Linked DNA regions of Drosophila melanogaster. The gene in region 2 interacts genetically with the main gene of each other region. Each region holds a gene or a part of one and is shown on either strand. Other genes may lie near its edges.

Evidence for each region.
Region 1: of Cln3 (region 2) and bol, changing one enhances a phenotype caused by changing the other (phenotypic enhancement), as found in Drosophila melanogaster (one study listed by BioGRID).
Region 3: of Cln3 (region 2) and Hibch, changing one enhances a phenotype caused by changing the other (phenotypic enhancement), as found in Drosophila melanogaster (one study listed by BioGRID).

The regions. Positions count from the first base shown.
Region 1 is NT_037436.4:9,126,123-9,132,778, forward strand, and holds the start of bol (boule), read right to left. Parts: upstream 4,234-6,656; 5' UTR 3,775-4,233; intron 1-3,774. UniProt on the Drosophila melanogaster protein: RNA-binding protein that plays a central role in spermatogenesis. Required for meiotic entry and germline differentiation, at the transition between G2 and M phases of meiosis I.
Region 2 is NT_037436.4:17,807,803-17,816,892, forward strand, and holds Cln3 (Cln3), read right to left. Parts: upstream 6,318-9,090; 5' UTR 6,258-6,317; intron 5,090-6,257; exon of another isoform or gene 4,994-5,089; intron 3,198-4,993; 5' UTR 3,188-3,197; coding exon 2,984-3,187; intron 2,912-2,983; coding exon 2,781-2,911; intron 2,693-2,780; coding exon 2,534-2,692; intron 2,475-2,533; coding exon 2,135-2,474; intron 2,078-2,134; coding exon 1,643-2,077; 3' UTR 1,429-1,642; downstream 1-1,428. Other genes in the region: CG32191 (uncharacterized protein), read right to left, coding at 40-528, 618-777, 835-945; Ir75a (ionotropic receptor 75a), read right to left, coding at 7,860-8,085, 8,183-8,463, 8,521-9,090.
Region 3 is NT_033777.3:15,353,490-15,359,763, reverse strand, and holds Hibch (3-hydroxyisobutyryl-CoA hydrolase), read right to left. Parts: upstream 2,536-6,274; 5' UTR 2,447-2,535; coding exon 2,444-2,446; intron 2,375-2,443; coding exon 1,490-2,374; intron 1,284-1,489; exon of another isoform or gene 1,226-1,283; coding exon 953-1,225; 3' UTR 501-952; downstream 1-500. Other genes in the region: Cog2 (component of oligomeric golgi complex 2), read left to right, coding at 1-142, 199-481; Atg4b (Autophagy-related 4b), read left to right, coding at 3,136-4,090, 4,149-4,344, 4,412-4,488, 4,656-5,131, 5,192-5,494.

The DNA.
Region 1 (6,656 bases), 8.7 Mb from region 2:
ATTCGTTGGGTTCTGGCCGACCAGCCAACTGGCCCTATTGTTATTCATATGGGCCGAAAGCAGTGTGCAGCGTCGGCAGCGACTGCGAAGTTGGCAGCGACGTCAACGGTTTTGGCTGGACGGGCAGCAAACACAGTTATGTTTCGAGCTTTTTGATTCTTTACTTATTGTGCAATGATCCGAGGCAACTTAATTGCTTTTCGTTTGGGTTTTCGGCTGCGACGAGAATAGCAGTCAGTCAGTTCAGTTTAGTTCAGTTTTGTTTTTCCACATATTTTCCACTTTTGAGCTCTCTTTGCGCTACGCTGCACTTCAAATGCTCAATTGTTGTCTATCAAAGGCGCACCCCCCACCACCACCACCACTGCCCCCCCACCCACACTATCAACCACTCCGTGAAACTTTGTCATTGTGGGAGGACGCATAAATAACGCCACTGATAAAAAATGGGCGAAGGGCGAGCGAATCTAAAGCTCGTAATTATGGCCAGCCAGTCCCGTCCGTCCGCTAGCTAGGTAATTTTTTTTCATTTCATTTTTATCAGCTCTCAGCGCTTCACTTACATAAGCTGGACAAAAAAAAAACAGCGGAAAACACGTTGGAAAATTGCGAGAAGCGTCTGTTTGTGAAGTTGGAAAATTTGAATTTCATCAACGGCAAAGCAGAGCGAAAGCAAAGACAGGCAGCGGACGAAACAATCATGATAATTAAATTGAGTTCACTGATGCGTATACTTAACATTAAATTCAAAGCCAGAAGCAATGCAAAAAAAAAAAAAAAACGCTGCTGCTCTGCCCCCACAAACGTGGAAAAATATATATTAAAATCAGCAACTGCTTTAAAAAAGTGTGTAGGAAAAAAGAACCTTCAACTGCCAGAGGTTTTGATTTCCTTCCTTTTTTGGTTGGAGCACCACCAGAGGATGTGCTTGTTGTTAGAAGCGGAACACAAAAAATTATATAGGTTAGCGCTATAGCCTTCGCATCCCTATCCCAATTTGGGACTTTGGGCTATATACTTGGGCATCCGTCCAGAGAGCGAGAAAAATGGCAAGAGAGAGCGAGAGAGAGAGAGACGCGTGAGCGGCGCAGAGAAGCGAGAAAATGTGTGCCGTGTTGGGAACATGCAAATGTGGGGCGACTGCCCACGCAACACCCACTTTTCCGCCCACTAACCCATCGCCAACAACAATGTTGCCAAGAATACGGAAATATTTTTGAGTGGATGCTCTCTGCGAAAAATATATGCACTACAAGAAACTTTGACAAATTATCATGCTTATGTATAATATTTAAAAGTGCCACGAAAACTAAAATTAGCATAGGTATTTTACACTATGAAAACAGTACAGTAATTTTGTTTTAAGTTTAAATCTTCAGAAAACTATAACTTATAGAATCTATACAATTTGTGTATCAGATTGTGTTTGTGTCTGGAGAAAATCAAATTAAATATCGCCTGCTTAATGTTATCAATTTAATGAGCCAAGTTGGGAATTCCCTCCTGGGGGTTGGTCAAATCGGCCATCAAAGTTGGCATGCCCCAAGCTGCGTGAGAAGGGCCGGCGGAAAATCAAAGCCACTTTTTGCGCTCTTAAGTGCAAAAATTAAACACAATCAACCCCCCAAGGCGAATCTCTTACGCTCGCCCCCCAAATTTCTCTCCGCTTTCTCTCTCTCTCTCTCTCTCTGTCGAATTTCTCGTCCGATATTTTCCCATATCATTGGCTCTCATCACTGCTCTTCGTGTGCATTATTTATTGCTCTTATACAGCCCGAATGTTTGACGATGACGAAGGTGCTCCACTGTCAGTGTCACCACCCCCGCCCACTCTCTGTAATTCAGATTCCCCCTAGCTCTCTCGCTCTCTCCCTCTCGTTCGTCACCTTTCCCTTTCGCTCCCTTGGCTGGAGCCCAGTTAACTAGTAAACCAGCAACCTATAATGGAGCCTCTTCCGTGTTGTTATCCCTATCCCACGACGTCGCGTATTCCCCACAGAGAGAAAAATCATCGGCCATTAGTCATGAATTCGCAACGGTTATGATGTAATGATGAATTATCTGGGGAGTTGTTTTTGGATACGTATTTGCAGTGCTCTCTACCCTTGTCTAGAATAAATTTCCACCTATAAGTAGTTTTTAGAGATAGACATCTCATGAACGAAAGCTGTTTCCTTATCCATTTGATCTCTACTCATACAAAGAGATTCTTGAGATGCAAACATATGCAGTATGATATGATATGAACTCTTTCACTGATTTTTCTCAGTGCACTATCCCAATTCTATCCCTTTTTCGCATCCCGGAAAATGAGCACCAGCTGTCTGCCATTTGCCTTCAATTTTCCCCATTCATGTTTGTTTTGCTTTTCGCCTGACTGTATAATAAATAACTTTGAAATAAATCAAATCGGATCCTGGGCCAATGGACACATGTTAAATGGACCGAGAAATCTAAGCGGGGCATCATCACATTTTTTTATTGGATCAAAATCAACAAGAGCAGCGTCGGCGACCTTAAAACGCATTAGCAGCCGCTGTCGGCCAAGTCGTAATAATTTTATTAGCAAACATCAGAAATATAAAAATGCCGCTGCTCGGAGGCAAAAGAAAAAGAAATAAAAGCGGCTACAATTTCGAAAGGTGTTGGCTTTTTCAGAAGTTCAAATTCAAACGGCGTGTGAGTCGGTGGGCGGGGGGAGGGGCTGTGACAAGTGCAGGCGTGCTCAAGGTAAAAGCGCCGCCGCCGCAGTCGCCGTCGACGCTGACAGCGCTGTCGACTGCAACTCGGCCGAAATCCGAGTGCAAGATCAAGTGAAGCGAGTGGCCGAAAAACTAGAGAGAGGCAAAACTACGAAAGTCGGAGAGCGAGCCATTTATCATTTTACATCACAAAAGATAAGCTGGCGAATAGGAGATACTCAGCATATACATATATGTACATTCACATACATATGTACATACATGTGTAAGTTAAAAAGTAACTATCTTTGTATAAAAGAATCTAGCAATTAATAATAAATAAAAAAGCAGTTCTGCCTCTAGGAAAATTATATTAGGGCCTAAAAATCTCATGTATTGACCTTATATTATTATAATATTATTTGTTATGCTGACAAAACCACATATGTTTTGTATGTACTAATTATCAATATTTCGTGATATGATTAAACGGTTTTATTGTGTAGAATCTATACTAATAAGCTGTTCTACAATATTCCCTCACATAAGTACAGGGTATTTAAGTTGGTCGCGCGGGTGACAGACATTCTGTCTTTTTCCCACCTTTCGCCGCCCTCTCTTTCGCACACGTGCAGCGGCACTACATGTTGTTGTTTTGTTTTTTAGGCATTCTGGAGGCGATGCTGTTTAGGCCGCTTTTAGTCAAGTGGCCGTGCAGCGACGCCAACTGCGGCAGCGCAGCTGCGACTAGATGAAAAAGAACAAATTGACTAAGCACGAAACACGTTTTAGCCAGAGTTTTTAGCCAGACTAGCAGCTCGAATCGGAATCGGAATTGGAATCGGTGGGAGCGGGACGGCGTGTGACATACTGACCCAATTCCGGGTTTCGATTTTCTGGTTTTTCTCAAGAATACACGTTTTCCGCTGCATAAACACACACATAAGCGTACGCGGGAGCGAAAGAGGCAGAGCGGCCAAACGAGTTGCATGGCCAAGAATTTTCGCCTGGCATTTTTCATTTTCCCTGCGAGTGACATTCATCCTCCCCCCACCCAAAAGCAATCCCCTGTTCTGTCATCAGGAAAACTCACCGTTAGCTGCGTCCTCCTTGGAGATTTTTCTGATTGCGTCCAAACTACGTCGTTTCCACAGGCTGCCTTACGTTACGTCTTACGTGAGAGGGGACACAGTTTACAGTTACAGCCTTTGCGTATCATTAATATTCCTTGTGATGAACGTTTATCCCAGATACGATGCGTTTGTATATATGTATCTTAATATCCAGTATTCAATATCAATATCAATAACGTCGGTGATGAACAAGAACCAGAAGACCAAAAACGATGGGATGATGGGATGATGGGATTTAGCTTGATATTCTCTTGGTTTCTTTTGTAATTTAATTATTTGCTCTTCTTTCTTTTCCGATATTTAGTGGTGTTTACTTGTATATATTATTGTTGTGTGTTCCGATTTAAAACAATTTTACTTGAATATATATATATATAGCACTAGACAACTTACTTCCTACGAATCACAATTAGAAATGAGTGTAAGGCGACGACCGAAAGGAAAACTCCCGTCAAAATGAAAAACTACGCGCCGTCTACTTGGGCGGCCGAGAAAAACCAAAACACTGTGGCGACACACCACATGTGTTTTTCTCTTCCAAAAAACCCAAAATTCCAAGGATGGTGGGGGCGATTGCAAAGGAAAATTGAAGCCAGGAAAACTCTCTTCAATATTTACCGTTCACCGTTTAGCGATATAGCACAACAATTTTAGTTCTACAACTGCTCTCGTGTAATGATGAACTCCAATTAAGAACACAAGTCCGTTTTAAGTTGAAGGCAGCCGTCGGGCTGACATATATTTATTCAATTTCTTCTTTTGATTTTAGAGTAGGCAGAAATGGTTCTGTCAGCTCAACGTCTACAGAGTCTCTCCGATTTTACAGTTTTTTATATATTTTGACTTAGGCTAATCCGCGTAGCTGCGCTGCCGGGTACGCCAGCAGCGGAGCGGCGTTCTTATGTATATCTTATATATCTAGGCTTATCGGGAGAGCGAGATATGTATGTACGTATGTAATATGTATTTGGTCGGCGTGTGAATGCTGACCATGCACTTATACTTTTTGCCTTCGAGTGGGCAATGCACTTATACTTTGTGGCCTTCGAGTGGGTGATCATGTTACATCCGCCCTGGCCTAACTGCGTGCATAAACATAAACATAGCAACAAAGTGCTGCCATAAGTTAATATGCTATTTTATTTAATTGTTCTTAATATTGCATAGGCACATACTACATCTCCCTCCTTTTGAAAAATAACGTAACCTAGTGAAGTTATTTTGATTATTAAATGCAAATTATTTTATTTTTATTTTTATTTTGTTTGTGTTTTTGTTTGAACAACAATAGTTGATTTTATAATGCAAAGATAAAAATATACGTAGTGTATGGAAAATTTGTATAAATGATTAAGGAAAATATAAGTTTAAATTCAATCATGAATGAAATTTCTTTAATCTATCTTTATGAACTATTTGTTTTTTGTTTTTATTAGTAAGTAGCGTAATATTGTTATTATCTCCTATGCTTTCTATCTTATAGGGCCCCGTATATTTAAAGTCTAATTTATGACCTACCTCATTTCTTAGTAAAACTTTATCTCCTACTTCTAATTCTATGTCTTTTATTTTTAAGTCATAATTTTCTTTATTTTTTTCTTTGTGTGCTTCAAGAAGTTTTCTTGCTCGAGCATATGCTACCTCTAACCTATATTTACTCTCCTTAGCGTAATCATCTATGTTATATATTGGTTCTATGCTATGTAGTTTATTAAAATGTTTTGGTAAATTACTTGTTCTACCGAAAACTAATTCATATGGACAATAATTATGTACCATAGATTGGGTCGTGTTGAAGCAGTATACGAAATATTGAAGCCATACGTCCCAATCGGTTTTGTCCGTCGATATGTAGGATCGTATATACTCGTTTAAAGTTCTATGACTTCTTTCTACTACTCCAACTGTCTGGTGGTGATGAGCTGTTGATGTTATATTTTTTATTTTCAAATATTTACACAGGTCAGTAATTATTGAATTCTTATACTCTGTTCCCATGTCCGTTATGAACGTCTTCATTGGACCGTACTTTAGAATAAAAGATTCAAATATAGCTTTTGCGACTGTTTTTGCGCTTTTATTTGCTATTGGTATGGCAACTAAGTACTTGGTTAAATCACATATGAGAGTGACTGCGTACTCGTTACCATTTTCTGACTTGGGTAGTGGACCAATTGTGTCCACAACAACTCTATCGAAAGCATGTTCTGGTGTTTCAGTTATCGTCATTGGAGTCTTTGTGTGCTTTGTTGTTTTTGCTTTTTGGCATTTTTGACATTTTCTTACGTACTCTTTTATGTATTTACTCATATTTTTCCAGTAATAATGTCTTTTGACCTTGGCCAAGGTTTTTGTAATGCCTGTATGCCCTCCTTGTATTGGATCATCATGTAATGTAGACAATATAGCTTCTTTTTCTTTTTCATTATTTATTTGGGTCACCGGGTTAAGTAGCGCTACTTTTAAATTCTTTAATATTTTATTGCCCATATTTTTAAATTTATCTATTGAAACGTGTTCAAAGATTTTTTTCCACGGTGCCATTTTGATTTGGCTGATATCATATATACCGGCCTGCAATTCAAGCCTTTGGAGAAATTGATCTAAATCAAGAATTCCATTAGTATAAAGATCACCAACATCATATCTTGCAATAATTTTCTTTCCATGTTTAAATAAACATATCGAGTCATTCAATTGCAATGTCACTACTTTTCGTACCTCGTCATTTGTTATGACTTCGTATACGTTGGGCTCTGAAGCTATTTCTTTGGTTTGCTTTTGCAAATCCAATTGTTCTTTTCCTGCGCAGGATTTTTGTCTACTTTGAAATCTTGTAGTG
Region 2 (9,090 bases):
ATGTTTGGGATAAGCATTTAATTATTAAAGTGTAATTACCTGCATATTTCCTTCGGTTTGGATCCTTAATGTAGGAAAACTTTTGAATCTCTTCCTCGGGAGCTTGCAGAGGATCATCCTCGTTGGCCGTGTGGGCAGCCAAGTGGCTGAGCATCAGGAATAGGGGTTGCTCCTTATCAGCATGGTCTTTGATCAATCGTTCCGCCTCGGCGGTTAACAAATCAGTTACATAAACCCCACGATCCCGGCACTCCAACTCCATGTTCCGCCGGAAATCGTAGCCCAGACTATAGTTGGCCACCGGCATCTTGGATCGTCTCTGGAAGTAGTCTATATAAGCGCCCCAATAGCCGAAGTGGTAATCGAATCCCCGCCGAGTGGGCGTGTATTCCGGGCGCGAGAAGCCCAGATGCCATTTTCCCACCAGGTTGGTGGAGTAGCCTGCCTCCTTGAAGATCTCCGGCATCAATGTGGCATTGAGGGTCAGGGCCCAAGGCTCTTCGTTGCTGATTACAAAGTGCTGTGTGCCTGCGGTAATCAATATATGAATTGTGTGGGTTTGATTCAAATCATTGATAATAACAATCCCTGGTATACAAAAGGTAATCGATACTAACCCGTGTGTATTGGATACCGGCCGCTGAGCAATGCTCCCCGAGATGGAGTACACATTGCCGGAGCGTAGAGCCGATCCAGTAGACGACCGTGATAGGCCAGGGCGTCGATATTGGGAGTTAGAAACTCCCGTCCGCCTCGAAAGCTCACATCATCGAAGCCCTGAGAGAGTGTTTGCTTTAGAAATGGGTTGATTTATGACGGCGAAACTAGTCCCACCATGTCGTCGGCCATAATGATGATTATGTTGGGGCGCCGTGCTGCAGCAGATTCGTCCGACTTCACCCGTTGGAGGCAGAGCAAAAGCAGAAACGCTGATAAGCCCCGCATCTTGGTTACTCAACTTACGTATTAGACAATCGCGTAATATTCGACTGCCTTGCACGGCAGCTACCGATCAACTGAAACGGCGAGCGGTCCACGTAACATCTCGCCCCAAATCGGTTTGGGTCTCGATCTCCCAATCTGTCTCAGCCGGCATCTCACTGCCAAACCGATCGTTTGGCGTTCGATTTGAAACCGATCAAACCGAATTAGAAGCCACAAGCAACAAGTTTATTTAATAACCGAGCAGCTCCATCTAAGTAATTATAATGTGTAGGTAGTGTAAATACGTACAATTTAAGAGGCTTTTTGTTGGAGACAGTTGAATAAACTCAGAGCAAGTGGGGCGCATTCTGTCTGGGATCAGTGTGCTTATCAAAGTGGTTAGCCGTGAGCACTTTGTGCCGAAAAAGCCAAACTTTGCCAAGGAAAACATTTTCGGAAAAGTGCTTGCATCTGGGTACGTTGAAATTAAATGAAATCGAATGTACAGTGTAGTGTTTATTTTTTTTTTTTATTAAACTAAACTTATAGAGTAGTCTAACAGCAGCATACTAACTATACAACGATCTATCTGGTTACCGGATGTCCAGTGATCCAGTGATTAATACTATAGGGACATGCACAGACACACACGCTTATTTGGCTAAACACGCACACAGTAAAGGCATAATCTGATCCTGATTCTGATCCTCGATCCGTATCACCAAACAAGGCTTCTGGCCGCGGCCGGAAGACCACAGATGGCGTTGTGCACGGGAATGGCCAGAAATCCGGCCAGAGCAATGCCATAGGAGTCCGACTGTACCACCATGGCCATGGCGAACTGCTGGCGCTCCGGCGAAATCTCCTTGGACATCCGATAGAAGGTGTTCACGTAAGCACCGCCGCCCAGAAGTCCCTCCCACAGGACGATGGCGAACACGATCCAGATGCTAGGCGTGTACCACCAGATAACCTCGGTGAGGAAGTATACCACGTTGACGAACTGGAAGATGGACATCAGCCAGATCTTGTCCAGCTGGAAGAGATTGACAGAGGAGCGCGAGATAAAGACTCCGATCTGATAGTCCACATTTAGCCAGCGGTACTGCGAGTCCTTGTCCAGGAATATATCTTCAAAGTAAACCAGTTCGAACTGAAAAATGGATGACAATGAATGTTTTTTTGTATGAATTAAAGAAAGCTAAATTACCAATCCTTGATTGATGAAGTATTCGAAGAAGTAAACCAGGCAAAGGGGCAACATATATTTGAAGAGGTGCTTGATATAGAAGAGCTTTTCCTTGAACCCAACTAATGGCTTCTCATCGCTGATCAGGACTTCCGTGGACTCAACCGTGGTAACCGGCAATATATCAACTTGTGGACGACGAAGCAGCAACCAGAATGCAAAGGCCTCGATCGCAGGGAAGATCAGCATAATCAGCATAGTATCTCTGGGACTGAAGTCTAAGGATCTCAAGCTAGCATAGCTCAAGGATCCGATAACTCCAGCGCCACCAGTTCCGGACGACCAAGTGGAGATCACATTCCTAAGAAAAACATATGGAATTAATGATATTTTGTTTAGTACTTTTACCAGACAACTCACTTATTGTATCGCGAAGAATAGGCCAAGAAAGTGGTTTCTCCTATTCCGCTGCTAGCCGAAGTGATGATGACACCCAAAAGAGCCATCCATTCGGCATTGGCGAATCCAACCAGGAGGAAACCAGCTGCAGAAAAGGCCACGGCAAGAGCTATACGGAAACTAATAAATAAAATGCGATTTTGTGTTAGTATCATATCAAGTTTAATGCATCAAATCAAATTTATTTAATATTGTAGATAGTACTCACTTCACCCAAAATGGAAAGAATGGCATTAGAATCTTGACAAATAATGAGGGCAGCACGTCTGCCAGCAAGATGGCACCTGTTGAAACCAAGTGACAGTTTCTTCCCGACGAGCTTTCTTCCGATTCATCATTCTAAAAAGAAAAAATTATGCAGGCGAACAATTAATAAATGTATTAAAAGTGCTATAATCCTATTGTAATTACCGGATTAAACTGCTTGATAATATCGTGCGCAGCACTCAGCATCACCACGTATCCGTAGTTGTTGCACAGACCGAGGATCCAGTAGGAAGTAAGATCCCGCCATAGACCCCGATCTTGGCGAGAGCTGCGAGAGGCGTCTCCAGGGGTGACCACCACTTGGGGATCATGTTCGGCCTCAGCCTCTTGCTGCTTGGTTGCCGTCATATTGAGCCGGCTAAACAAAAATTAAAAAACCCTTTTGTTTAATATTTTTAGTGCAAATCCAACAAATTTATTTGATTCACTTCATAACTTTTTTTACCATTTACTATCTCTAATCTAAACTCATCTAGTTTCTCCTAAGAAATCAACAACTTATTTGTCTCTAAAAAAATTAATGTTGCTCTTTTTAAAAGCTTTAGCATTTACGCAAATTGTTTAATTGGTCAAGCGTGAACGAAGGTGGTTTTAAGACTTCAAAACGGCAACGAAATCAATATCACGTTTTTATAATAACAGTTTCTTTTAGTAGCTTTAGTTCAACATTTATTTGTTCCAAGAAACAAATCAGCGCCGTACCCTTAGTTCATGATCACCTTACTTAATTTACTTTGAATGGGCCAACTATTAATTGAATTCTCTTTCCCAGCTATGAGCTATTTATACTCTTAAAAGAAACTGCTATTCACTCTTCTAAGCTGAGCAAATACTACTGCTCGAGTCGAATTTAAATAAATTGTTTAATTTCCCAAGCCGAGCATGTGCGTAAGCAGTCTTGAACTTGACATAATATGGTCACTAGGGGAAGTCGCTAAAATATATGGAAAGTACGTGCAATAAATGCTTAAAAATATACAAATTGTGTTGAAGGTAGGAAAAGACAGCTGTTTAGTTCAGACTCAGGGTTTGACGGGTTAAAAGACTCATATTTATATAGCTAAGTGCCTTGCGGGATATTTTCACGGGAGGTGCACACGTATTTCCTATTTTACTATTTGAATTTGTAATAAAGTAGCCTATTACTATTACTTTACACATTTCTCAGGCATTTAACTATGCTATATAACTAGCTAATTTGCAATGTTTGGAGGTTTTAAATAAATAAGATTTTAGATAACATTCAGCTGTAGCGGGAAATAAACTACATATGTGCGATTTTACCGGATATATAGATGTACGTATATATATCACAGTTTTTTGGCAATGTTTTCGGTGGTGCAAAGTGCAGATGAATTGATTTGTTTACATCCGACAGAACTTGTGACTGATAATAGATCGAAGAGGAAATGGGGACAACAGATGGGATAATATAATCTAGACCGTTCAATGCATATATTCCCAATTCTCATTAGCGCCCTTGACTGGCAGCTTTTAATTATCCAGATCATTTAAGTTAACCTTGCAACAAGCCAAACCAATTCAAATAATGTAATCAACAGTTAGCACGAGCCCTGTTAGCCAACAAAGAAAAGGCACGCTAACTGTAAAATAATTATAACAAATTAACTAATTTAATTAATTCAGAGACCAGGCAAATGCTTTTTAGCCGTCCTGCACTTCGTTGGCCACTGACTCATTCAAGAGATTCACTTGATCCATTTGCGCAGTTATGAAGTTGTTGACCCAATTCGCAGTGCACTTTCCTATCCAGTTACTTTTGCTTGCTATCAAAAAATATGATACCCGATACTCAAAATTTATTTCGAAATATCACTGGTAAATTGAGAATGCTAGATCTTGCATATATCTTGAAAAAAAAATTCTGAAGCATAGAGTGCTTAAAGGGATTTTCGTTTTCAAATATAACTTTTTAATCAGTAAATTAATAGATAAAATAATTTTTTTTCCATAAGAAATTTTAAGCCTTTGATATTTAATTTCGCATTTTATGTAATATAATATGTAAAAGGTTGAATTTACAACAAATGTAAAAATGTTTACATAGAGTTAACTTTCTATTGCACTTTATAACTTTTCATAGCACTAATGGGTTCTTCAACTGCTCTTGTTCACTATAAAGTACAACCGTACATCTTGCCACTATTTTTCGGCTTGGTAGTTCTAAGGTTCCGAGAACTGTTGGATACGACGGCGACGACGATTCGCGCTTCGAGGCGATCGGTGAGTGACTGAACCTGTGCGAACCCTCCCAACGGAACGAGAACCAATAACAAGCGGCGACTACAATGGAGCCAAGCGGCTGGGAGCCCAAGTATGAGGTATCACGCGAGTTGCCAGCGGCAGCATAAAAACTAAAACAATTAAAAGATGCAGCAAGTGCCAAAGTGCCGATCAGCAGGTTGATCGTACGTAGATCGCTAGCAGGTAGCACACATTACAGATTACATATATAGTATCATTTAATTCAATTCAATTCGATTTGATTCGATTTGATTCGAGCGGCAAAAGCGGGGGAGTTGAGGTCGGTCAGCGAACGTCACGTTTTTCGAGTTGGCAAGTGCATTCGCATTGGGTTTAGAATACCCCTTCTTCTCAAGAGTGCGAAGATAGCGATAAGATGTTCGAATTTCTCGATGGGGGAAAATCTGCGAACCTTGTGATTCTTTATGGTGGGAAATGCTTATCGGCTAGCGGTCTTTGGCATTCAAAGATCCCAAGCAATCCGATAGTCGAACTGGTATAGATTAGATTATGAAGATATTGTGTCACTACGAAGGGTTCTTAAAGATTTTCCAATACTTTTGAACGCATGTGCTAGCTCTTGATTAATGTATTGAAAACGATCAAGTTAGCAACTGTATTTTGGAGGGTATTTCAAACTTCGTGTTTGTGTTAGCTTTCGTAATTAGCACCTGTTATTGAATAAGTCATAGCTATTTTAATTACGCTTAACTTTAAGTTAGGCAGTTTAATTGCGGATAGCGCTGTTAGCTTTAATTTGTGCTGCCCAATATCAAGTAAGCTCTAATGGTCGTTCCCTCTAAGTTTATTGTTTTTCAACGGGCGCACGTGGCGTATGCGTAATCCGAAAAGTGCTCCTAAGCTCAAAAACACCTGTTTTCTAGTAGAAAGATTTTAAAAAGTAGTATCGATAAATTCACTTGTTTTTTTTTTTTTAAAGTTACACAGTAAACCAAACGGAGGTCATTTAACTCGATGACAAACGGTTCGGCTATGCAAATCACATTTACCCGTTCAACTGGAAATGCTGGCTAATTTTATAACAATTTCATTTGAAACGGAACCCTGAGATACTTTCTACGGCCATAAATCCGGCGTAAAATGCAATAAACATTACTCCCCCGAGTGAATACCAAACACCAGCCGTACGTACACTTTCGAATTATTTCCGGCTGCCACTCAATCCGCTCGAGCAATGAAAATCTACTGAGGACTCGTCGAATACGGGCCTAGATTACAGCCGGACCAGTTGCAATCGACATTATCATTATCGTTAAGTGGCCAGCAGATTAAATTACAGATAAGACGTTCGCAGCATTGGGCCATATAAATCTTAAGATATCACTGGCAATGGCAATTCGTATATGACAGGCTCTGGGGAACAGAAAGGGTAATCAAACTGATGAGGTGATGGCCATAAGCCCGCTTCCCCCTTTTTATCTTTTCCCGTACACTTAAGTCTAATAATCGTACCGGCCAAGAGTTTGGTCATAATAAATTTCTCGGGTATCGTTTTCCCATCCACAATAGCTCCGTTTAAATTAAATCCGTTTCGCGCTCATTTAGCACGTACGGAAACCGCCAAAACCAATTTCACACCGCAGCCGCAAAGCATGGAACACTTTTTACTTGCCACAGGGCTATACATTGCATTTAAAAAAGAGAACATGTTGTTGACAAATTGCAAAATAAAGTGGTTAAGGCTGCTAGGGATAAAAAGGGACACCCGTGTTCGATGTTGTAAATAATAAATAATTCACAATTGCTTGTCAATTTCGAGTCACTCCAAAGTTGTCCTCCCTGCGAAGGGAAAGTAGTCCTTTCATGGCATAAACTATGGCCAAAGCGATGCCCTGTTGACAGCCAGATTGAGTTGACAAATTGTTAAGGCAATTTGTTATAGTAATACTTTGGGAATTCCGGAATGCCAGTGAGTGCTGTTTGGCAAGCAGTTGTGTCAGTTGCATTTTAATGGTCGACTGGGAGTCATTTAAGAACGAAGTTCTTAATACTATTTGCTTGACTTAGGCAAATGTAAAATCTTGAAAAAATATATAATTTACTGCGTATTTGATTAGCAGCCATATAATACCATTTATTTGCTCCTACACCCAATTTAATAATATTTGTGCGAACTCAACTCACTCTTATTTATTGTACAATCAATTTCGATAAAGCTTTGACACGTCCCTTCCCATATTTGTCGCCTCTGGCGATGCGCCATCATTAAAATACCATAAATCATCTCGGGGCAACATGCGATGTCTGCGGTAGGGAAACTACTGATTCCGGTGAAATTCGGGGAAATGCGAAAAACACAACTGTTAACTGTTTCTAATAGGCCGTATTAGGCTCACAATCAGTTATCTAACATTCGCACGTGGCATTGGGGAACAAAGTTTCAATTCGAATGTGGCCGTGCACGAAAATGCAAATAAAATGGCTCCAAGAGAATGAATAAAATCATTGCCAAAAGGGAAAATGGAGTATAAAAAGTAACCGCCAAACACGAAAAGTTTTTAATGCAAATACGAAAATCGCATGGAAACATGGCCACCACGTCCTTTGCAAACCCCTTTATCCATCCCTCCGTTTAACGAGCCGTGCTGCAATTTTCCGGCGCGAAAACAGGAAGTGAGGAAAGCGTCGCCCTGCATAATTTTGCGATGCGAAAAGTTAACGCAAAGTGTTTTTATTTTCTCCTGGGTGCAAATAGAATATAGTTGTTACAGCAGCTTAAAGCGATTTTAAAGCACTACGGGTGAAAGGTGAGATGACGCGTGAAAAAGCGCTTCCAGGCCAGTTCCACCAGCAGGATTACCACGACCAGGATGTCGGCGCAGATCAGCATGAGGAGCAGAGGAGCCACGTACTCCATTCCCACGGTGATGACGAAGTTCTGGGCCACGCAGTGCAGCTTCATGTGCACCCAGTAGCTGCGCTGCTTCCGGTAGACACCAGTTTCCAGGATCCTAAGGAATCTAAAATAATACATACGATTTTAATACATTTAAGATGTTTTTGAATAGCATAAAATTTAGTTATACTTGCTTTTGGAAGAGTAGCATAAGGGCTTACCGAAGTCTGAAGAGCTCCTTGTACGTGGAGTTGCGATGTAAGTGCGTGTAGAATAGCTGCTCGGGTCGAAATAGAACTTCGTTCAAATCGCAAATCTCTTGAGCCGTAAAGTACCGCTCCACATATGCATATCCGGAAGAGGTTTCGAACACGTAGACATAGCCAGGATTATCCCTGACCCTTAAAACACCCTGCTCAGCGGGCAACCAGAGTTCAGGATTCTGGGTCTGCGATTCGATTTTGCGTTTTATGAACAAGTGTATTTCCGGTAGTCTTGAGTACTGAAATTAAAAAAGCTCTTTGCAGTTAAGAATGGTTAGGAATGGAATGAAACCAACATTTAGGTAGCTCTTGGTGAAGGGAAGTGGCTCCAAGCCCACGGTTAGGGAACTCTCCGCCAGCTGCCGCATCGTTTTTATCTTGGACTTGACGGGCGAGCTTAGTAGAGATGAAACGACTACGGAAGTGTAGTAGTTGTACATAATAAAGCTGATCAGGAACAGGGCGAAGTAAATTAGTCTGCCTCCAGCGGATCGTGGAATCAAGGACGAACTTTGGATGCAGGCTGCTCCAAAACTGATCAGGAAAGTGCTCAGCAAAGAGGGTAGGTAGTCCAAGCGCCATCGTTTTTGCATTCGCTTGCACTCCATATAAAAGGTGATCCACAGGAGGACACCAATCAACGAAAGTACTCCGCCGAAGAGATACCAAACCAACGGACTGAAGGGCTGCAGGAAAACATCTCCCCGGAGTCCCGCATTGTGGGGTGTCCGGAAAATGCAAACGGAACGAAAAAATCCCGTCTCAATAATGGCAGACAAATACTTAAGCCTGCCTTCAGTGGCCAAAGAGGGCGTGGCCGTAAGATCAGCAGTCTGGTCCACTACAGCACCCACAGAACCACCTAC
Region 3 (6,274 bases), on a different chromosome or scaffold from region 2:
GAGAGGTTCCCACACGATGTTCGAGCTATGTGGAGCAAATGCTGCGACCGCTGAAGGCATTTGCCCAGCAGAACGAGTCCCAGCTTGGCACCCTGGTGGTGGAACAAATCTTGGCGGAAGTTGCTAGTCACATAACCAAGGCGTGAGTATAATTTTACGATGGGTTCGAATTTCTCTGAACTTTTATTCGCACTATAGGTACTTCAATGTGGTGAGCGATGTGCTCACATCCGTACAGAAAACCGAGGAGTCATTGCGACGCTTGCGAAATGTAAAAAGTGGCGGAGCCGCGACTGTTTCGACTGGAAGCTCGGCTGTAATGTCTGACGATGATAAGATTCGCGTCCAACTGCGAGTGGATGTCACATCCTGGAGGCAGGAGCTGTGCAAACTAAACTTTCAGGCCACCCAGATCGATAAGCTAGTCGAGCTGACAAACATGGTGGAGGACAGTATCAAGCTAAAGGATAACAGCGCTTAGTCACCAACAACGATCAGTTATTAAACGTATACACTTCTTTTTATTCTTGGTAAACGAATTCTAACGATTCTTTAGGCACAATTATTGATTGTATTAGGACTACGAATTGTACATAATATATATAGGCATATATGTATATCATATATTTAAATGCATTGAATTTCACAATCGTTATTGGTAAATACCGGCGAATAGGATTCTTCCTCGAAGTTATTCGCTGTTGGAATGAAACAGAGAAGAGATTGCGGAAAATTAGCCGACAGAACTCATCAAACTGTGGCCACAGAACGCTAAAGATATATAAAGAATATTGCAAAACGGCAGGCAAGGAACCATGCATAACATAACTCAAGCTTGCAATGATATATACAAAGATATTAAGTTGTGTGCATATAAGAATGAGCGGCTCAACGGAAGACAAACAGGATTGGATGCCAAGGCTCAAACAAAAACAAAACTAAGCTTGCTACATTACAGCTTGAGTTCCTCGGTGTCCGGTAGCTTGCGGAAAAACCACTGCACATGTTCCTCAGTGACATCGGCCAGCTTGGTTGGCTGCCACTGGGGCTTCTGATCCTTGTCGATGAGTAGGGCGCGCACTCCCTCCTTGAAATCACTTCGCTCCAGATGACGCACGGCCAGACGATATTCCATAATAAGACACTGAGCCAGCGACAGCTGTGATCCGAGCTCCAACTGACGGAACGTAACCTTCATCGAGGTGGGAGACATCTTCGAGAGCGTCTAAAACAAAGAAAAAAGCAATGTGTCTGATTTCAATAATAAAATTCAACTCTAATAGAAAAATGCAACAAGGTGTGGGGTGTGAGTTTGTGAGCTAGTGTAACTTATTCAGTTAAGAAAAGTCGTGCAGCAACTAAAGCGTTGCTAATTGGCTGGAAACGGATCAAATATTTAGGCGCTAAAAGCGCGCGTCAAGCGATGATTGGCCCAGCCAATTAACATCCGATTGTGTTCTTATCACTTAGTAAACTGTGCCCCACTCACCTCAAGCGTCTTCTTGGCCCATTCACTGCCATCGTTCTGCAGATTCTCTAGAATCCCCTCCACCGAGTCCGCTGAAAAGTTCTTGTTGATCTGCTCCAGGACAGGCTGCAGCGAGAAGGGCTTTTCTGGCGGGGAATGGTACTTCTGCAGCAGCTCAGGCACATCATCCGCATCCGGGCAGTTAAGGAGAGCCGTCTCCAGATCAGGGATCTTGCTGCTCTCGCAGTAGTGCGTAGCAATGCCTGAGTAATAGACATCGGCTCCGCGCAGTCGATATCCTGTGAGACCCAGATAGAGGCCCAGCTTTCCCTGCAGTCGAGGCAGGAAGTATGATCCACCCACATCCGGGAAGAGGCCAATCGCCGTCTCGGGCATGGCGAACAGTGTCCGATCGCTGGCCACCCGGTACTTGCCATGCACACTCAGACCCACGCCACCGCCCATGGTAATACCGTCAATGATGGCGATGTAGGGAATCTTATAGTTTCCGATCAGGGCATTCGTGCTGTACTCCTCCCGGAAGAAGCTCTTCGACTCATCCGTAGGGCCAGCCTCGACCAGAGCGCGCACATCTCCACCGGCGCAGAAGGCCTTGTCACCTGTGCCCTTGATGATCACCAGCGACTTGGACTTCTCGCACTTCTTCAGGTGCTTGTAGATCTTGCGTACCATCTCCAAGTTGATGGCGTTAAGCGCCTTGGGCCGGTTCAGAATAATCATTCCCTTGTTAGAGGACTCCGTGGCCAGCACGGAGGAGGAGGATTGGCGAACGGAGAGAGCCATTGTTGTTGGTTTTGTTTGGGATATCGTTGCTCCGCCGATCATCGGCAATTGGCTACAGGTGCGATGACCAAATGTGTACACCAACCTTTGAATTGGGCCCTGCTGGACGGCGACATCGAATTGTTTTCGATTAGCTAAGCGCTTCTATTTGCAGGAATTTGCATTACTTACCATTTTGAGCGGCTGTCGTCAGTAATGTTGTGTGTGGGGCGAAGCGAGTGTTTAGAAATTCAGCGTTGCGCAATAGAATTTTAGCACCCGCACAGCTGGTCATTCTTGTCGCGGAGCTGCCAGACCGCACACATGCCGGAAGTAAATAAGGGTGTTCCAGAAATCGTTTTCCGCGTAAAATATTACTATTAAATGGACATGCCAAGGGCAGACCTATACCAGGCGCCTTTTAATTTATTAATTCAAATATTATATGTATAAGAATTTTAGATAAAGATACAAATTGTTTAAAAATAGTTTAACACAAACCTGTTGATAACAAAATTCACTATTCATTTTGAACTCATTAGTAGATAAACGTAAAAAAGAACACACATTACCTACATATTCATAATAGAGCAGATTTGCAGTCTGGCAACACTGAAATTGGCAATTGTACTTCTCGCGAATAAGAAAAACAAATTTCGTGGAGTTACTTTATCTTATTTTGTCAACAAATAAACGGTGAGTAAACATTTGTAATTAGCACGCAATCGGTGGTCGGTTGTCAGTTAAGCCAGGGCCAGCAAGGGGCTCGCACCAAGATTACAATGCCGCAGTTCTTTAAGTTCCGCAAGCTGCGGACAAAGCGTCATAGCTCTTCTACCACTTCCGCCTCTGTTTTCATGTCCTCGTCCACGGCCACCAACCAGATGAACTATGACGGCCTCCTTTCCAAGTTGACCGACGAAAAACTGATGCTCTTCGAAGCCGCCGGCGAGGGGACCATTGTAGAGGGTAGCCGGATATGCGGCCAGGATGCGGATCCGCTCTCCTTGCCGCTGGTGGAGGACGGCGCCATCGAGGAGGAGCAGGCGGCCCCCATACAGACGATTCATCGCACTGTATTCGCCGTTCCACGCGTCCCTTCCCCCTCCCCCGTAAGCACATCAGGTGCCAATCTGAACCTCAAGACGGAAAACGCTGCGACAGCGACTCCGCAGCGCAAAATATCGACGTCATCACGTTTCATGAACGCCTTCAGTCAGCTCTACGGCGGCGGCAACAGCGGTCCGAGCTGCGGTCACGTGGAGCAGCACAACGAGGAACCCGGTGACCTGTCGGCAAACCGTACTCCCACCAAGGGCATGGAGTCCAAGCTCGTCGCAATGTGGCACAATGTGAAGTATGGCTGGAGCGGCAAGATGAGGCAGACCAGCTTCTCAAAGGAGCAGCCCGTGTGGCTGCTAGGACGGTGCTATCATCGACGCTTTACTCCGCCCGTAAGCATGGAAAGTTCCATCACCGAGCTGCCCAGCGGGGCGGATACCACCCCCGATAACGCCACATCGGCGTTCGACAGCATTCAGGCCACATCGACATCAACCTCCTTGTATCCAGCCCTTAATCCGCAGCAGATCGATGAGATTGTGGTGCCCCAGGAACTGGGAATGGACGCGGTGGAGAACCAAGTGGGCGAACAGCCTTGGGAGGAGGGCATCGAAGGCTTTCGTCGTGACTTTTACAGTAGGATTTGGATGACCTACCGTCGAGAGTTCCCAATAATGAATGGCTCCAACTACACCTCGGACTGCGGTTGGGGCTGTATGCTAAGGAGTGGTCAGATGCTCTTCGCTCAAGGACTCATCTGTCACTTCCTAGGGCGAAGTAAGTTAAATGAACCCGCACAAATATGTTTGATTACCAATAAACCTTTATGCTTCAGGCTGGCGCTATGATTCAGAGTCCCAGTTGCACTCGACTTACGAGGACAATATGCATAAGAAGATCGTCAAGTGGTTCGGGGACAGTTCCTCAAAAAGCAGTCCCTTCTCCATCCACGCCCTGGTGCGGCTGGGGGAGCATTTGGGTAAAAAACCTGGCGATTGGTACGGTCCCGCCTCTGTTTCCTATTTGCTTAAGTGAGTACAGATCTTTATCGCTTTTTTAATCTTTATTAAATCAAACAACTCTTCAACTTCACCACAGACACGCCTTAGAGCACGCGGCTCAGGAAAATGCAGACTTTGACAATATTAGTGTCTATGTAGCCAAAGATTGCACGAGTAAGTTCAAGCAGAAAGGAATCCCTTAATCAAAGATTCATAAGATAACTACCATGACACATTGATATGTTCATGAGTAATTGCTGCAACCTTGTTCGCGAAGCTCATTACTCAGGGGCTCAATTGATAACGTATGTGATTTGATAACCGTCTTTGTGTTGTTTTAGTTTACTTGCAAGATATTGAGGATCAATGCAGCATTCCGGAACCGGCGCCAAAACCCCATGTGCCTTGGCAACAAGCGAAGCGGCCGCAGGCGGAAACTACCAAAACGGAGCAACAACAGCACTGGAAGTCCCTCATCGTTCTGATACCTTTGCGCCTGGGCAGTGATAAACTGAATCCTGTGTATGCCCATTGTCTGAAGCTGCTGCTGAGTACAGAACACTGCCTGGGCATCCTTGGTGGAAAGCCAAAGCATTCGCTGTACTTTGTCGGCTTCCAGGAGGACAGGCTCATCCACTTGGATCCGCACTATTGCCAGGAGATGGTGGATGTGAACCAAGAGAACTTCTCCCTGCACTCGTTTCACTGCAAGTCGCCGCGGAAGCTTAAGGCCAGCAAAATGGATCCTAGTTGTTGTATCGGCTTTTACTGTGCCACCAAAAGTGATTTCGACAATTTTATGGAGAGCGTACAGTTGGTAAGCAAAAGCCAAACATTTCGTTTTCCAACGTCCTATTAAATATCTTAATTTCAACAGTATTTGCATCCTATGCGTTGCGCCTCAGGGGCAACTGTGGATAAGGCGGCCGGGAGCCATCATACGACGCCTCAGTCATCCCATCAAACCGAGCAAACAGAGATGAACTATCCATTGTTCTCATTTTCCCGCGGTCGTTGCATGGATCACGAGCGGGACGAAATGAGCGATTCGCTGTACAAGCCGCTCATAAAACAGGTGGCTTCTCTGGCCCAGGAATTGGGCGCTCAACTGGCGCCGCCACAGCACGGCGATGAGCACGACCAAGATGATAGTGAAAGCGAAGAGTTTGTGCTGCTGTAGATCGTTGCCGCCACCACCACATAACCCTGTTGCTGTGCTAGCTGTGTTATTTGCTCATTATTATTTGATTTAGTTGCCAGCCGCTGCTGCTTGCTTGCTCGCCCAGAAAAACCCAACAGACCCGTATCTCAAACACAAAGACTTTGTTGTACCTTTACGCCTACGCATATAGTACATAGACGCATGCATGTATCTTGAATATTTACTGATGTCCACGTTAATCTCTCTTTTGTTCGACCTGTCGTCTCGCATTCTGCCAAAGTTTTTCAGCTATTTCCATGTTCGAGCAGCCCGATCTGTTTATATGTGTTATATATAAACCTATGTAATTTGCGGTATTATTATTTTAAAATCATGAATCTTTAATGGAATTGAATTATTTTACAATGGTGCCACAATTGTCACTATTCTTTGAAGTATTTCATGTAGCGCTTAGTTCTAGAGTTTAGTTAAATTATGTAAGTCGTCTTGTAATTGTTCGATCATTATTTAGTTTTAACATTAATTGTATATACCCTCGAGTAAATGAATAAACTATCCTAACTTATACTAAATACAATTAGGGTGTCATGAGATTTTAGCTGATGGGATATGAATGTATGATATAGATACAATATTGCACGGAATTAAAATTAAATTAGACTAACTAGTTTTAATGTCTTTTATGAATAAGTAATTTAACCCACAACCTCGTCTTTCGTTTGGGATTATTACAGCTTGCGAAGTGTACATACCTCTTATTATTTGCAAACAACCAAGATTTTGGTTGGATCCATATTT